3 linked regions of the Stegostoma tigrinum genome follow. The protein of the gene in region 3 interacts with the protein of the main gene of each other region in a pairwise test. Links are inferred from orthologs where the notes say so. Each region holds a gene or a part of one and is shown on either strand. Other genes may lie near its edges. The genes, in order: stam2, cytidine deaminase-like and plekhb2.

Region 1 (6,180 bases), on a different chromosome or scaffold from region 3:
TGCTGGGGGTATACTACAGGCCTCAATAGCCAGCAGGTGATAGAAGAGAGAATATGTAGACAGATTTTGGAAAGATGCAAAAACAGCAGGGTTATTGTGATGAGTGATTTTAACTTCCCCTGTATTGACTGGGACTCACTACATGCTAGGTGCTTGGATGGGACAGAATTTGTAAGAACCATTCAGGAGGGATTCTTGACACAGTACGTGAACAGTCCAATAAGGGAAGAGATTATACTAGGCCTGGCTTTGGGAAATGAGCCTGGCCAGGACAGTGAAGTTCACTAGGGAAGCATTCTACGAGTAGTGATCCTAATACCGTGAGCTTTAAGATACTCATTGATAGTGATAATAGCAGTCCTTGGGTGAAGGTGAACTACAGAGATAGTAGGAACTGCAAATGCTGGAGAATCTGAGATAACAAGGTGTGGAGCTGGATGAACACAGCAGGCCAAGCAGCATCAAAGGAGCAGGAGGAGGAGGAGGAGAAGGAGAAGGAAGGCTGGTTAGGCAGGAACTGGAGAATTGTGATTGGAGGCAGCTGTTTCATGGTAAATTTACATCAGGCATGTGGGGATATTTCAAACAGCAGTTGATAAGAGTTCAGGAGAGGCACATTCCTGTGAGAATGAAGGATCGGCATGGCAAATTACATAAACCTTGGTTGACCAGGAATGTTACAACCTTGATCAAAAAGAAAATGGAAGCATATATAAGGTCCAGGAGGATGGAAACTGATGAAGTATACAAGGAAAGTCGGTAAAAACTTAAACAAGGAATTAGAAGGGCTAAAACAGGTCATGAAATGTTGTTAGCAAACAGGATTAAGGAGAATCCCAAGGCTTATTGATAATATATAACAAAAGTAAGAAGGTAGCCAGGGAAAGGGTTGGCCTACTCAAGGGCAAAGGAGACAATCTACGTGTGAGGCGAGAAGAGGTGAGTGAGGTCCTAAATGAATACTGTGTGTCAGTATTCACCAAACAATAGGAATTGGCGGAGGATGATCCCTGGGAAGGTTCTGTCGAGTTTCTAAGCCAGGTTGCTATTAACAAGGTGTTTGGCATCTTAAAAAATATTGAAGTACATAAGTCCCTGGGTCCTGAAGGGATCTAAGCCAGAATATTGAGGGAGGCAAAAGAACAGGTTCAAGGTTCAAGGTTCAAGGCAGGTGGGGGGTTAAAAGGGGTGTGCTAGGCAAGCTTTTCACACAGAGTGGCGAGTGCCTGGAACGCATTGCTAGAGATGGTGATGGAAGCAGAAATAATAGCAGCTTTCAAGTAGTGTCTGGACGAATACATGAATAGGAAAGGAATAGAGAGATACAGACTCTGCAAGTGAAGACAGTTTCAGCAATGGAGGGGCAAATTTGGCAGTGCAGGCTTGGATGGCCGAAGGACTTATTCCTGTGCTGTATCATTCTTTGTTCTTTAAAAGGACCCAAGATCCAAAGAAATCGACATTTACAGATGGGATGCATGTGTGGCTTAACTACTGGCATAGTTTCTTTTAAGCTTAAGACATCAAAATCCAAGATAAAGGAAAAAAGAAAATACAATTAATGGGAGCTTGCAAATGCAGGCCATCTAAAACAATATGCTGTCAAGTTCCATTCCTAGTTCTAGAAGCTGGCCTGGTTTCTCCTCATGGAGTAAATCTAGAATTTGGTTGCACTGTATCAAACAAAGGGACCACTTAAAATACTGAGGGAACATAGAACATACAGGCCCTTCGGCCCACTCTGTGGTGCCAAACTTTTACCCTAATGCTAAATTCTATCTAACCTCCACCCTTACCTTATACTATCATCCATATGCCTCTCTAACAGTCACTTAAATGCCCCTAATGAGGCCGACTCCACTACCCACTCCAGCAATGCATTCCACACCCTAACCACTCTGAGTAAAGAACTTACGTCTCTCCTATATCTACCTCAACTCACTTTAAAACTATGCCCCTCGTAATAGCTACCTCCACCCTAGGAAAAAGTCTCTGGCTGTCCACTCTATCTATACCTCTGATCATTTTGTACATCTCAATCAAGTCACCGCTCATCCTTTGTTGTTCTAAAGAGAAAAGCCCTAACGCTGTCAACCTTTCCTCATAAGACCTTCCCTCCATTCCAGGCAATATCCTGGTAAATCTCCTCTGCACCTTTTCCAACGCCTCCACATCTTTCCTGTAATGAGATGACAGAACTGGACACAATACGCCAGATGTGGCCGAACCAGGCTTTTGTATAGCTGGAGCATAACTTCACGGCACTTGAACTCAGTCCCTGTTAAATGAAAGCTAACACACCATATGCGTTCTTAACAACTCTATCCACCTGGGTGGCAGCTTTCAGGGAACTGTGAACATGAACTCTAAGATCCCTCTGCTCCTCCACGCTTCTGTAACCCTGTATTCTGCTTTCAAGTTTGTCCTTCCAAAATGTATCACCTCACACTTTTTAGGGTTAAACTCCATCTGTCACTAATATCTCCTCTGAGAGGGTTACTTATCTTGGTAATTTTCTACCCAATACAGTGTAGATGCTATCACAGAACACAGTTGAGACCAAGATAGATTTTTGAACCACAGGGCATTTGTGGGTTTTTGGGAGGGGTAATGGCAGAAGTGTCAGACAGGAACATAGAGCTCAGACTAAGATCAGAACAGCCACCATCTTATTGTATAGCAAAGCAAGCTTATAGGGCTGAATGGACTCCTCCTACTTCATATCCAATGCTGTATACTCATCTTGTGCCAAGAGCAGAGGCATTTAAGATGAAAACTAAATACTTGCAGAGTTTTTCCAGCACATTCTGCTTTCATTCCATCTCTAGCGTTTGAAACACAGGAACAGGAGTAGACCATTCAGCCCCTCAAGCTTGTTCCATCATTCAATGAGGTTATAATTGATTTGTAGCCTACCTTCACGTACTCATCTTAGGCCCAAAATCACTTAATATCCTTGCTTAACAAATCTGACATCTGACATAGATAAATTTTAACAACTGATTTAGCATAAATTAATATTTGTGAACGAGAGTTCCAAACCTCTATCACTTTTTCTAACAACTCTTTTTTTATTTGACAGGCTAAGATGAGAACTGATCGAGCCGCTCAAAAGATTTCAGTGGAGCAAATGAGACGCAGCTTTGAGTGACAGAAGGATCAGTTATCAGAACGGTAAAGAGATCAGGTTTTATCCTTGTGAACTTGAAAATTAGGGAACATTTTCTGACGCAACAAGTGGCTGAAAGGGTGCAAATTCAACAGTAATTCTCAAAAACAAACCGACAAATCCTGGGGTTCCAAGAGGACGGTGTTGCAGGATTGTTGGCGGGGGTGGGTGGTCTAAAATCGGGGGGCCTCACGGGAGGAGGGACCGAACGGCCGCCTTGAATGCTGTATCATTCCCTGAGCAACATTTCCTTTCTCCCGGAGACCCTTGGTACTCAACAAGCTGATATAATCAGCTCATTTAGAAGCGTTGTGTCATTTATATAATTAAAAGTGTGTGTTTTTAAAAGCCCGGGGCCGGTTTTAAAATCCCTCAACCCTGACAGGCATAACTTACCGACATCCTGGTCGAAGGGGTTGGTGGCGAAGAAAGGCATAGCTGGGATTACAGTAGGAAAACTTTTTTTAAGTGAGAAATAGCCTTCTGGAGATAGGCCGCCGTCAGGCCTCGGCGTCTCTTCAGCTCGAAGCCCGTAACAGTCGCTCCTTCGCCAGCCCCTGGAACATCCTAACAGCCGAGGCCTCCGACCAAATCTGCCCCTTACGGTCTCAGTTTCTTTCACAACTGAAAGTAGGATAAATATTCTCAGTTTTTCACTCCACCCCTTCTCCGGGAGATGAAATGGCGTCGCAGGAGGAGGTGAAGGGAGTTTGTGATCGGGGGATGTGAAGAAATTATAAAATAAATAATAACTTCACGCTGGTCAGGTGACGCCTCTTTGACCCCGCCCCACTTTCTTCCATTGGAGGCGGTCGTCACTCGGCCCTCCTGTAGTGGGGGGGGGGGTCAGCCAAACTAGGGGGCAGTAAATTGACATGTTCGGGTGGCGCAATTCGCTGTCTGCCCGTCCAGGGGGCAGCATAGGAGGATGACCGTGAGACAGAATTCTCAATTTGCCGGTTTCGTGGGAGCAGCACCGAAGGAGGTATGGTAATTCAGTGGGTAGCCAGCATCATGTACCGATGTCGGGACATTGCAGGGAAGGATACAGGAGGGGAAATTCGCTCAGAGATAATAGGAACTGCAGATGCTGGGGAATCCGAGATAATAAGGTGTAGAGATAACAAAGTGTGGAGCTGGATGAACACAGCAGGCCATGCAGCATCATAGGAGCGGGAAGGATGACGTTTCGGGCCAAGACCCTTCATCAGCAAAAAAAATTCGCTGTCCGCCAGTCCAGAGGGCAGCATCGAGGGAAGAATGTACGAGGGGCAATTTAAGGTCAGCCAAACCAGGGGGCAGCGTGGAGGGGGTGGAACGCAGGAACGGCAATGGAAGGTCGTTCTGGCAGAGGGCAGTATCGGGGAGGACCAAAAAACAAAGTTGCTGGAAAAGCTCAGCAGGTCTGGCATCAGCTGTGGAGGAGCAAATAGAGTTAACGTGAGATAACAAAGTGTGAAGCTGGATGAACACAGCAGGCCAAGCAGCATCTCAGGAGCACAAAAGCTGAAGTTTCGGGCCTAGACCCTTCATCAGAGAGGCTCGAAACGTCAGCTTTTGTGCTCCTGAGATGCTGCTTGGCCTGCCGTGTTCATCCAGCTTCACACTTTGTTATCAGGGAATGCATGAGTGGCATTTCAGGGTCAGCCAATCTTGGGGGCAGTACCGAGGGAGACGTGCGGGAGGCGGGATCGGCAGCCAGCCAATCCTTCAGAAGGGGGTGGGGCCAGGTGGTGGTAAATACTGCGCACGCGCGGCAGTTCAGTGACGGACTGATCACCATGGCGTCGGTCGGGAGTGGGCTTGAACATCAACGTGGGGTTCATGAAGGGCCGCAGAAGAAAAGAAGGGGTCCGGGACCCCTCGCCACTGCTTACATGGTCATCTACAACGTGGTAATGACGGCCGGGTGAGAGCTTACATTTTTAAAGCTGTGTTCCGTACCGATCCCAATTAGCTATCCGGGTCAGGCACTGTTGGCAAATTACCATTTCTTTCCATAAGCGTCTGAAATCCACTGCTATTCTTCAGTGTTGCGTTAATTAACATTATAATAATGCAGTAAGCTCGCTTACTGAAAGCAGTTTGCAAATCGAAAGCAGCAGTCTATTTAACCCCCCCCCCCCCCACCGTGTTCCCTTCTCTTGCAGGATCACTTCCTATTTATGGATGGTTCCTCAGTGAGGGACTACAGTGGTACTGAGAGGGCAAAGATTATTATTTAAAGAAGTTCCTTTTGAAATGAAACATGGGTCGGCTCGTATATCGCAATGGAGGAAGAAATGTATTTTCTTCCCTTCCACCTAAGCCACGTGCATTAGTGAATAAGGACCCCCACCCCCATGTGTAAATTGCTGCCGGAAACCATTGTGATGCGACAGTGGACTTTGTTCTGCTTTTCCGCTCCCATATTACAAAACACAACTGATCTCGTTCTGTCACTACTGTACTCTTCAGATCTTTGGTACAGACTGAGTTTCCTGCTGACCTAAGTCGGCAAGCTTTGTGGGGAATGGTGAAAGCAAACTAGGGGTGTGGTGTGTATTTTTCTAGAGATTGGGAGCAAATGTCTCTTCTCAGTTGGCAGATATCAGCGAGCAAGTTGACTCCCTGTCCTTGGATTGAAACAAACAAATGACTTTTTTCCCCATTCAGCTGTCTGAGAGCTCCCCTGCTGTATATGCCAGAAATGGTATTTTATGTTCCTCGAGGGAGATAGGGATGGTAATGTTCAAGGTTATTAAAAGATGTCTTGATATTTATAGCACTCTCAGTTGAAGCTTTTGTATGCAGTGCAGTAACCTGTAATTATATGCTGATTACACATCAGTGTGAGGAGTGCTTTTTGGAAAGCAACAAGGCAAAAGAGCACTCATTGAACATCCTTGGTATGCATGCCTAAATTCTTGAAGGCAGTAGACTGAGGTAGATAAAGTGCTTTAAAGGCATATGGGATATCAAGGTGAGGCTCATTGGTCTATGGGTATGAGTCTCACTTAAGGTACTGCACA
Region 2 (6,180 bases), on a different chromosome or scaffold from region 3:
AAAACTTTACCTTTCTTACCTTAAATGCATGTCCCCTGGTATTAGACATTTCAACTCTGGGCAAAACATTCTGACCATGAACCTTATCTATGCATCTCAATTTTATTGATTCTATCAAGTCTCACCTCAGCCTTCGCCGCTTTAGAGAAAACAACCCGAATTCTTCTAGCCTCTTCTTAAAGCTCAGACCCTGTAATTCAGGCAGCATCCTGGTAAACCTCTTCTGCGCTCTCTCCAAAGCCTCCACATCCTTCCGTTAATGTGGCAAACAGAACTGAATGCAATACTCTAAGTATGGCTTAACCAAATTCTTATAAAGCTGCAGCATTACTTCCTGACTATTGTACTTAATTCCCTGAACAATAAAGGCAAACATGCCGTATGGCACTTTACCACCCTATCTACTTGCGCGGCCACTCTCAGGGTGCTATAGGATTGAACCCCAAGATTTCTCTGTACATCACTGTTGTTCAGGAGTGCTGCCATTAACTGTATAATTTTCCTTAACATTTGAACTCCCACATGCAATATCTCATGCTTGCCTGGATTAAACTCCATCTGCCACTTTTCCGCCCATATCTGCAACCGATCTACATTCAGCTCTAACCTTTGATAACCTTCTACAGTATCCACAACTCCACCGATCGTTGTATTGTCTGCAAACATATGAGCTATCCATCTATGTTTTAAATCCAATTCATTTACATGTGCCACAAACAGAGGTCCCATTACACATCCCTATGGAACACCACTAGTCACCGAACTGCAGGCTGAAAACCTTTGTTCCATCACCACCCTCTGCCTTTTGTGGGCAAGCCAATTCTGAATCTATGTGGCCAAGTCACATGTATCCTTATTTACTTTATCAAATCTGTTTGTGATTTTAAGTGTCTCAGTTAAAATTCCACGGCGAGAATGTGAAACTGAAACCATTTCCCATCCACGTCAAATCCTCGCTTGTGTTACAGTCCCTGTGTACACAGTCTTTGGGATATACTTGTTCATCCTAGGAGGCCTATAGATCTGTGAGCCGAGGACTCCACGGTCAGTGAAGCAGAGCTTTAAGGGGATTGGCCTGTGGGAATGAGCTATACGTTCACGGGACAGGAGTGTGTGGATTTCAGTTCTAGCATTTGTATTTGTGTGTCCAATGTAGGTGTATTGGCCATGGACTATACATCTTTGGAGCTTACAGGATGTGATTCAGTTGGTTTAAAGTACGTTGGTATTGTACAATATAGATAATTGGGGAATAGATCCTCGTTGATGTATTGGATAGAATTCTGTAGGTTGATTGAGCAGCGATCTCCGAGGGTGTGTGTTATGAAGGTTCATGCAGTGAAACAGAGAGACAGGCTGTGTGAGGAGGAGGCAGCACGCGAGACAGATGGATAGACAGCATGAGCAAGTGAGGGAGAGAGACAGAGCGAAAGACAGGTATAGCAGCAAAGAGACAGAAAAACAAATAGAACAAAAGCGTGTGTGGGGTGACTGGGGGTGTCATATCTGCAGGGTAGAGATATTTTCAGAAAAGCCTAGGTACCACCACCATATAAAGTAAAAGCTGCATGTTATTTGTAATTGGCACGATAAATAAAACAATCCAGAGAATGGCTAAAACACTCACCGCAACGGAAGCTGCTCCATGCTTAGTCAACAACCCTTACAAACAGAAATTAAAGACAATGCTTTATTGATCAAGGTTCAGCTTTTTGTCAAATTATGAATAACAGTGGCATTTAATAAGTTATTTAAATGTTGAGCTACAGCCACACAGCAACCTTTCAATTAATAATAGTAAAAACTGAAACTGCTGGAGAAACTCAGCAGCTCTAGCAGCATCTGTGGAGGGAGTAACAAAATTAGTGTTTTGAGTCCAATATGACTCTTTTACAAAGCAGTCAGGCACTGCCCAGTTCAACAGTGTGCTGATACGCAGTAAATGCAGGAGCTATAATGTGCATAGCAAGCTCCCACAAACAAACAATGACTTGAATGAGCTGATATGTTGAGGGAGGAACATTGGCAACAACATAGGGAGACATCTTCCCTGCTGCTCTGTTCATCCACTTGCATCATCATGAACATTGACCAGAACCACAGAAAAGCACAGACAACCTTAGTTTAAAATCTCATTCTAAGGTCATCTCTGATAACGTAGCAGTCAAGCTGACATTTACTATATTCCTATCTTTGCAAACTTAGCTCTTGGGGAATATGATCCTGTGGCACAGGAAGTTACAAAATGATATGGTTTTGTCAGTCTAACCACTGACTGCAGGCAGGAGGCAGGGCTTTCTGTTACTGCAGGTTACTGCTTACCTTCCTCAAATCTTGATCCATCACAATTCCAAGCATGCTGCTGAATTAGTGCTTCGGAAAACCAATTACCACAGAGTGGACACTCCATTCTGCTTTCATAGTGGTTATCCAGTGCTATGTGTGAATGGGAAAAGATGGGTAAAAGGTTAATCTGCTGGTTTAGTCTCTTTCTCTGACCAGCGAACCTGTTTGTCCAGTAGATCTAGCTCTGATCACTGGATCTCTGTTCCTGATCTTCAGATCACTTTCTTTGCTCCCAATTCATCTCTCTCTTTTGGGGCCCTCTTTATACAATGAACTTCTCTCCCAACCATTTAGATCACTCTTTAGTCACTGCTCCCAGAGTGCACATAGCGGATCTCCAGCCTCTCCCAATGCATCTTCTTTTGATCTCCCTCTGCACAATGGCTTTTTCTCTGATTAGTTTCAAATAGATCTCTCTCTCTCTCTCTCTCTCTTCCCCCACCCCCCCCACAACCTCGCTCTCTCTGATTCTGCTGTGGAGTTCCCAGAATTGTCCCTCCCTTTACTTGTTACGCACGTTCCTCAGCTGACTCATGTCTTCCTCTCTCCTCCTATTAACAGACTAAAGTGCAACTGTGGATTATAGCTGACGTGTGCAATCAGGTTACTATATTATCATTGTGTAGCTTGTGGAACTGTGCTGAGACTTACGGTGTTTCACAGACCAACTGATGTAGCCAAGACAAGCCAGCTTTGAAAAGAGGTAGGAATCATTTTCAAATATTGACATTATCTTGCTCAGCATTAAGCGTACTTTAAATCCTGTTACGTAACAATTGTAAGTCTGATATGTGACATCTATGACCATCAAATCAGTCACAAAAGATCAACACCTCTGGAATCGGTCCAAACTCATACTTTCACTTCAGCAAGTACAGTTCTTGCACGTTTTCTAGCATCCCTTAGACAATGAGAGGAATCTATGATTAAAACAAAACTGTAACTAAACTTTGGATGGCTTGAGTAATAAAAAATAATCTTTGGCCTTTTTACAAATTAGTTCTTGACATAAATAGCTGCCTCCTTTCAGGAAGTAGACTGCATTTAGGTAGGCAAATTATCTGAACTGAATAAGTCTAGGAGAGCTGGGGGCCATGCTTACAAGGGCAGAAGCATATCACATGTCGGTAGCTGTCGTCCAAACAACAGTGAATCTGGGGGATCAGACGACAGTTGTCTCATGCAGTGAAAACTGATTCTCTCTATTTCTTCAGCCAACACTGTACTAGGAATGGTGATCATCTTGCATAAGTGAGTATAATGTAATGTCAATCAGAGCCAATATCATCTCTGGGACTAGAGATAATGGGAACTGCAGATGCTGGAGAATCCAAGATAACTAAATGTGAGGCTGGATGAACACAGCAGGCCAAGCAGCATCTTAGGAGCACAAAAGCTGACGTTTCGGGCCTAGACCTTGTTATCATCTCCAGGACTACTTTTGATTAAGGAGGTCAAACAACAATTTCCCATGAATCTCTCCCTGTTTCATTTGGGTTTGATCAGATCTGTTTTCTATCTCTTCTATTAACCTGATTTGGTTCTGGGTAGAGGAAGAGAGCTTGTGAGTGTATGTCATAGAGTCATACAGCATGAAATAGGCTATTTGGTCCAAACAGGCCAACCATAATCCCAAACTAAACTAGTCCCACCTGACTGCGCATGCCCATATCTGTCCAAACATTTCCTATTTATGTGTGTAATGTCTTTTAGGTATTGTAACTTTACCCACATCCACCACTTCCTCTGGAAGTTCATTCCAGACACAAACTACACTGTGCGGGGAAAAAAAAGTTGCCCTTAAGTCTTTTTTAAGTTGCTTCCCTCTCACCTTAAAAATATGCTTCCTAGTCTTCAAATCCACAACTCTATGGAAAAGACACCTGCCATTAACATTATCTATATCCCTCATTATTTTATAAACTTCTTTACGGTCACCCTCTCAATCTCCAATGTTCCAGTTAATAAAGTCACAGCCTATCCAGCCTCTCCTTATAATGAAAATCCTCCATTCCTGGCAATATCCTGGTAAATCTTTTTTGGACCCTCTTTAGCTTAATAATATCCTTCTTATAACAAAGTGACCAGAACTGGACACAGTACACCAGAAGAGGTCTCACCAACGTTTTGTACTACCTCAACATGCTGCCCAACTCCTATACTCAAAAGGTCTGAACAACGAAAGCAAGTGTGCTAAATGCCTTCTTAACCAACCTATCTATATGGAATGCAACCTTCACAGAATTATGAATATGAACTCCCAGGTCTCTTTGTTCTACAACACTACCCAGGGTCCCACTATTAATTGTAACGGTCCTGCCATTATTCATTTTACCAGAACGTAACATCTCACATTTATCTAAATTAAACTCCATCTGCCAAGCCTGAGATCGTTGGCCCTTAATCAAGATCTCTTTGTAATCTTGGATCTCTTTCTTCACTGTCCACTATACCACCAATTTTGGCGTCATCTGCAAATTTACTAACCATGCCTTCTTATCTGAATCATTTCTGTAAATGACAAACAAGAGGACCCAGCACGATCCCTGTGGAATAGCACCATTGACAGGCCTCCAGTCTGAAAAGCAACCCTCCACCACAACTCTGTTTTCTGCCATTAAGCCAATTTTAAATACAATTTGCAAGCTCACCCTGAATCCCATGTTATTCAACTTTACTAATTAGTCAACCATGTGGAACCTTGTCAAAGGGTCTACTAAAGTCTAAGTAAACAACATACATCACTGTGCCCTCATCAATTTTCCTGGTCACTTCCTCAAAAATCTCAATCAAGTTTGTGACACACTATTTCTCTCACATAAGACTGTGCTGACCATCCCTAATCATTCCTTGCCTCTCAATGTGCATATAAATCTTTTCAGAATCACCTCCAGCAACTTAACCACCACAGAAGTCAGGCTCTCAAATTTATAGTTCCTAGGCTTCTCCCTACATACCTTCTTAAACAAAGGCACAATACGGTAGTTACAAAGTGTCCAGTGGCTATTCCTCTATCAAACAGATATTCAGTTTTGGAACTGTAGAAGGGGATAGTCTCTCTGAGGAAAATTGTAGGGGCAGTCAGTTATTGGACGCTTGAAATAATTCTTATGTTAGGCAGCATTTGATGGGATTTAATAAAATGATTGTTATAGGGGACTACTATCAGGGACGTAGACGGAAGATTCTGCGGCAGTGAGCATAAATTTAGCATGGCTTGTTGCTTTCCCGGTGCTAGGATTAAAGACACCTCACAACATTTCAAGCAAATTGTTAAACGTGGGATCGAGAAGCCACAAATCATTGTATACATTGGTTGGAATGACACTTTTAGGGAAAAGATTAGAGCAGTGTAGAGTAAGTTTGAGAGGTTAGGTAGAAAATTAAAAAATAGAACCCTGAAAGTAGTAATTTCTGGTTTACTCCCAATGCCAAACTCAAACAAGGGAAGAAACAAAAGGTTAAAGGAGATGAATCAATGGTGAACAGCTGTGAATTGCTAGGGATTCGGGTTTTTGGTCGGTTGGAATACTTTCTGGCATAGAAAGAGCTGTTCAAACAGGATGGGTCGAATGTCAACTGGAAAGGGATCAATAGCTTGGCAGGGCAACTAGCTCATTCCATTAAGGGAGACTTTATACTGACAGAGAGGGGGTGTGAAGGAATTCTAAGCAGCAGTGTAAACAGAAGGATTGATAGGGAATAAAAACGGAAGTTGCTGGAAAAGCTCAGCAGGTCTGGCAGCATCTGTGAAGGAAATAAACAATTAACATTTCAGATCCGGTGACTCTTCCTCAGTTCTAGACCAGACCCGAAACATTAACTCAGTTTTTT
Region 3 (6,180 bases):
TGCTGCTCCTCGTTAGTGAGAAAATGGAGAGCAGAAGAACATAACAGGCTCAGAACTGTAAGGACATGGGTGTCACATGTTATAAACAAGACAATTTGGACCAATTATTTCAGTACCTACAAAAAAGTGGAGACATGAGACCAGTTAAATGCCAGAAGCATGAGTCTATGAACAAAAATAATGAAAATTCAACTTCAAACGTTTAACTTATCCAGAGGTAAGTGTACAAATTGGCCAAGCATCTGCTACCAAATAAGTGTACTCCATAAAACTTCACAGCTCAAAAGGATGTTGTTTGTGCAGGTTATTTGCCAACACATGTCTCAACTATGCCCATTGGATTGTATCTCCAGAGTTTTGAATCATCTGCTGCTTTAAATATTTATGCTCAAAAAGTACAAGAGTTTCTGCCTCTGAACACTTCCAAAAGGTACAGCATTATTTATTTTAGTCACATCTACATATACTATGCCAAAGTTCTCTTTTCACTGTGGCAAGTTGGACTCAAAACCTTTTAGAAGTTTTAAAGTCCGTTTGATTTCCAGCTAGTTTTTCAATCCTTATGAATGTATTATTTTGTATTTCCCCCCCGCACTCTAAAGCTGGATTTACTGTGGCTTCTTACAGTGCTATGCAACTGATTTGCTAAAAATTAAACAATTATTGATCTCCAGCAGCTACATAAGTGCTGTAGCTACACAAGTCAAAGACGTGGATTTCACCGACAACTGGAATTCTGCAGAGACCTAGCACCTCCCCAAATCCTGCCCACCATTCAGAAACCACAGGTCTGGAGTGTGATTGTAATATTTTCCATCTCCCCAGACATGCAAAGTGCTAACAACACTCAAGAAGCTCAGCACCATTCAAGCCAAATGCACATAAAATGTCAACACCCTCTACCACTGCACCACAGCTGTGGCAACGTGTACCATCCACAAGTTAAAGCCTCCATCAACAGCACCTTCCAAACCATACACACAGATCTCCTCGAAGGACGAGGGCAGCAGATGGGAACAGCATCTCCAATGTTTCCTACCATGTCATATACTATCCCATCAAATCCTGGAACTGCCTTCCTAACAGTACAATTGAAGGACTACAGCAGTTCAAGGCCGGTCACCACTACAAGGGCAATTGGGATGGTCAATAAGTGCTTGCTTTTCCAACAAAACTTTACCCTATGAAAATACTTCAAGTTTTAAAATCTGATAAGATTCCCCTTACCAAAATCTGTTCTACTGCAGGGCTTCAGGACCTTCAGCTTCTCCTCAAATCCATAGATTTTTCTTAGAAGAAAGTAACTCGTACAGCTTCAGGATAACCAAATGTACTTTAGAGTCAGTTACATGATCATTGCTGTAACTGATGAAAATTATCAGCCAAATTGTACACCAGGCTCCACAAATACATTAAATCAGCACAGAGCACGCTATAGCATATTTGGCCAAGTGATGCTACCACTTTGTGCTGACAGGGAGAAATTTTAACACGATCTCCGATTTGGACATTCATTCAATGGCCTACCAATGAAATAGTAATGAATAGAAATGCCTCTCAATGTAATTCTTAGAGGGCAGGCTGCTATGATAATTTCCACAATTTGAAGGTTATGGCCACAAATGCATTTTGGTTATCCTCCCACATTCTAGAAATGGATCAAATAGCTGCATCATCCAAAACTCGGGGGTTGGAGTTGCCTATTCACCATTATACCAGTCAAATGGGGACCCTGGCCATTTCTTCAACACTGCACACATCCCATTATTCATCAATTGGGAAAGTGAGCTGTTACCAGCATTTTGAATATTCCCTACTGTTGCCCAAAATCACTGACACGATTTGAAGCACTTTTTGGGTAGGTCCAAAAAAAGTATTAGCCCTTGCTTTTCTTTGAAAATTGCACAGGAATGATTTACATTCAACCGAGTTGGCTGTTACTTTAAAGTTTGTATAAGCAAGCAGGGTTATAGTGCAGGACTTCCTCAATATCACACAAGCACCGTGTTCTCAAAATCTCTCCAGTTTGGACTTTGGTAGTGTATACCCAAATCTAGTACAAACCCAAGACTTCATATTCAATTTGCAAGCACTAATTTCTAGCCTTGAGACATATTTAGGTTTTAAAATATACATCTTCACCACAAAGCATTTGGAATTAACGTTAACCCAACAGCAAGTAAATCTAAACCAAAAGAGGAGCAGATGCTGTAAGTCAGTAATAAAATCAGAAGGGTCACCGGACCCAAAACATTAACTGATTTTTCTTCATAGATGCTACCAGACTTGGCTGAGCTTTTCCAGCAACTTCTAGATTTTGTTCAAGTAAACCTGCCCCAATTTAATGCTGATGCGCAACACCCTTAAATAAATCATGTCAAGAAATCTCAAACTTTTTATGGGAATTCTGAATTAGCTGAGGAGCTAAGCACTAGCAGCTGGATGAACGAACAAAATAACAACTGATTCAGTGACATTAAGCCTAAAAGGACAGATGACGAGCTTTGACTGTCTGAACTACAGTGGATTGGAAAGTGACTCAGTGGTACCACGTGGCCCAGACTTAAAGCATTTCATCCTCCACGGACTTAATTCAATTAAGCACTCTGCAAAGGTGCAAGTTATTTCAATGATAAACAATAACACATAGCATAAACATTGTAAAACACTAATAAATAATAAATTCACAATTTTGTTCTGGGGAAACTGTGAAATGGTTTAAGTAGCACTCTATCATGAACGATTATTGGTTCACAATGTGTGTCAATTTCAAACATACTATTAATTCCACAAGTTACATGATGTGCTTTTGTTTACTAGAGAGGGTGGAGGAATGATTAAGTAGTCATATGATACTGTCACAGATGACGACGATCACACACTAAAACAAACAGACGCCTACTCCTTCTCATATCATAATAAAAGACCTGTTAAGTCCATGACAGTTTTATATTTCAAAAGGGGAGGGGTGGGAAAGAAGGGTCAGTCAGAAAGTAGGATAAATCCGAAAGGGATCAGTCAGTAGTTTAAGCAGCAAAAATAAACAGTTCTCCTGGTTTACGTGTGGGCTGGACGAAGATATACATGAACCCAAATCCTGTCTCCCTCTTTCTGCTTCCTACTGCTGCTGATGCGCAACATTAGTGTATTTATTGGGCTGGGGTTAGGTTTAAGAAATACACTGGAAACATCGCACCCAGCAGACAGAAACAGTCAAATCCTTTGCCAAGTGACCACGCTATGAACCCGGCCCTCGACAGCCGCGACCATCTGAAACAGAAATCCAGAGACACTCCTTGGAACGCCATGTAAGAGTTTAACGTTCCAAATTAGAATCCAAAGACTACCGTGCAACAGTTCAACGTTCCAAACTGGAACAAAGACTCTCGTAGAACCCCATTACCACCTGCAACCGCTACTCACCCTCAGCCCTAGCAGCTCCACTCACCCCGTCACCTCAATTTGTCACAAGACAAGTGCGTCCTCAGGCGATCCACCTATTCTCCGCCCTCCTTGCCACGGTCGCCTCTGGGAGTTATAGTCCATTCAAACCCGTTCCCCGTTTTCTGCCGAGGACGGAGACTACATTTCCCATCCAGCATCGCAGACTGCCGAAGGAAAGACTCCCGGCTTTGAAATAGGAAGAATTGCAGAGGTTAGAGTCAGAGATAACGCAGCATCATAGGAGCCGGGAAGTTGACGTTTTGGGTGGGGTCACTTCTTCCTGCTTTGACTTCCTTGTGAATCCACCCAGCCCCAACGCGTTCCAGCGCTATTGGCACGAATGATAAAGGGCTGTCTTCTTTGGATGTGTCCTCCAGCAGGTGTTTACATCTTATTTGACGTTTCTCCCGAAGGGAAACCTCCCTGAGATCTTCATCAAATCAGCTGAAGTTGGCCCTTCTCTATTTACTCTGTTTATAAAGTTAGCCAGCTACGAGTTTGAGGGTGGCGGAATGGGTAGCAGGGGCCCAAAGAACTGAGGCTGTTGGAAATCAGAAACAATAACGTAAGTTTCTGGCGAAACTCAGCAGGTGTGGCAGCATCTGTGGAGAGAAAACAGAGTTAGGCTGTGTTCTATACAAGGGTCATTGCGTTCTCTCCGCAGATGCTGCCACACCTGCTGAGTTTCTCTAGCAATTTCTGTTTTTGTTCTGATTTCTAACATTCGCACTTCAGGGGGTGTTGGGAGGAGGGGGTATAGGGGATCACGATTGTCGATTCGGTCGAGAAAAAAAAATAAACATTAGGTAGACCACTCGAGCTGAATGCCTTTTTGTGCAGCCCATATTCAATACAATTCAGCCTACAGATCTTTGTGGTTCCAAGTAAAGCATCACTATGAATACGGGAAATCCTCCATACCACCGACATTCAGTCCTATGCCCAATTGACAAGTGCCCTTCCAACTCCATGAACTAACAGCAAACATCCTGCTGGACCTACTGATGGTTATCACTAAAATGAACTAAGTTTGTGAATATTTTAAGTTTTTAAAATTCACAACAAATAGTGGAAACCTGGCAAAAAGCCCCAGTCAGAAGCCCAGAGAGAAACCTCTCAAAATTGCAGTAGACTAGAAAAGACAACACCTTCCAATCTGTAGCCCAAGACACCTCTGGTGACAGCTTCCATGCCAGATGATCAGCAATGAGCTAAACTTAAAAAGGCCCAGAATCGATTAACTATCAGTGCGAAATGGCATATGGGTTTTTGTTTTGTTTTCATTCATTCACGGGATGTGGGCATCACCAAATAAGCAATTATTTATTGCGTATCCCACATTGTCCGGGGAAGGTGAGGCTCAGCTGCTTTCTTAACTGCAATCCTTTTGGTCGGTACACAGTTAGGAAAGAAGCTCCAGGATATTTTGACCCAATTGCTAGAAAAGCTCAGCAGTTCTGGCAGCATCTGTGAAGGAACAAAAACAGAAGTTGCTGGAAAAGCTCAGCAGGTCAGAAGGGTCACCGGACCCGAAATGTTAACTCTGATTTTTTTTCTTCACAGATGCTGTCAAACCTGCTGAGTTTTTCCAGGAACTTCTGCTTTTGATCCTGATTTTCAACATTCGCAATTCTTTCAGTTTTTATTTTGACCCGGTGTCAGTGTTCCAGTCAGAATGGTATGTGACCTGGACGGGAGCCTGCAGGTGTTACTCCCTTGTACCTACAGCCCTATCCTAAGTAGCAGTGGTCACAGGTTTAAAAGATGTTGTCAAAGGAGCATTAGTGAATTACTGCAGTGCTTCTTGTAGTATGGTCAGACTGCTGCCACTGTGTGTCGGCAGTGAAGGATGTGAATGCTGAAGGGCGAACAGGGGGGGCCAATCAAGTGGGCTGCTTTGATCTAGATGGTGTCAAACTTCTAGAGTGTTGTTGAAGCTGCATTCATCCGGGCAAGTGGAGATTATTCTAACACACTCCTGATGTGGGATCAGAGTTAAATGCATGGCTTAAAGTTTAGATGGGAGATAGGGGTTTCATGGAGGACTGGTAACATTACTGGGAAAATAGAGAGCTGTACTGTTATGGTGACCTTCAACTGAATTTTACTGAGATGGATTAAATCAGGTCGGATGTTAATTTTAACTGGAATGTGGCAGAAAGAGAGTGTGCAAACATAAGAATGGACCACTAAATGATGTCAGAGTAAGGAAAAATGATAAGAAGAGAGGCTGAGAGATAGGATCCAGAAGGGTCCAGAGCCAAAATGTCAGCTTTCCAGCTCCTCTGATGCTGCTTGGCCTGCTGTGTTCATCCAGCTCTACACCTTGTTATCTAAGATGAGAGGCTGAATCAGTTAGGACTAGATTCACTGGTGTTTTGAAGATGGAGGAGGGATGTCATAGAAACATATAATATTCCAACAGGACAAGACATTAAATGAAGGAAGGATACTTCCAAGGACCCAAGTCCAGAACTGGGGACAGAGTCTAAAGATACAGGGGAGACTATTCAGGACTGAAATTTGAAGAAATCTCTTTATCCTGAGAGTGGTGAGCATGTTGAATTGTCTGTCACAGAAAGCAGTAGAGACCAAAACATTGAATATTTTCAAGAAGAACTTAGATGTGGTTCCTTGCATGAAAGGAGTATGGGGAACAGGGAACTGAACTGGATAATCAGTCATGATCATACTGAATAGCTGAGCAGGCTCAAAGGGCTGAGTGGCCTACTTATA

The links.
Region 1: the proteins of plekhb2 (region 3) and stam2 interact in binary tests that used the Homo sapiens proteins (3 or more experiments, as listed by UniProt). The two-hybrid records come from large-scale screens. The link is inferred for Stegostoma tigrinum from reciprocal best matches to the Homo sapiens genes PLEKHB2 and STAM2.
Region 2: the proteins of plekhb2 (region 3) and cytidine deaminase-like interact in binary tests that used the Homo sapiens proteins (3 or more experiments, as listed by UniProt). The two-hybrid records come from large-scale screens. The link is inferred for Stegostoma tigrinum from reciprocal best matches to the Homo sapiens genes PLEKHB2 and CDA.

Annotation. Positions count from the first base shown.
Region 1 is NC_081360.1:97,872,585-97,878,764, reverse strand, and holds the start of stam2 (signal transducing adapter molecule 2), read right to left. Parts: upstream 3,959-6,180; 5' UTR 3,606-3,958; coding exon 3,566-3,605; intron 1-3,565. Other genes in the region: hacd2 (very-long-chain (3R)-3-hydroxyacyl-CoA dehydratase 2), read left to right, coding at 4,951-5,078.
Region 2 is NC_081391.1:26,465,454-26,471,633, reverse strand, and holds the start of cytidine deaminase-like, read left to right. Parts: upstream 1-2,291; 5' UTR 2,292-2,310; intron 2,311-2,322; coding exon of another isoform or gene 2,323-2,410; exon of another isoform or gene 2,411-2,467; intron 2,468-2,859; exon of another isoform or gene 2,860-2,907; 5' UTR 2,908-3,049; intron 3,050-6,180. Other genes in the region: uncharacterized protein LOC125447215, read right to left, coding at 1,628-1,662, 2,323-2,410. UniProt on the Homo sapiens protein: This enzyme scavenges exogenous and endogenous cytidine and 2'-deoxycytidine for UMP synthesis.
Region 3 is NC_081367.1:13,150,129-13,156,308, reverse strand, and holds the start of plekhb2 (pleckstrin homology domain-containing family B member 2), read right to left. Parts: upstream 3,654-6,180; 5' UTR 3,449-3,653; exon of another isoform or gene 3,424-3,448; intron 1-3,423. UniProt on the Homo sapiens protein: Involved in retrograde transport of recycling endosomes.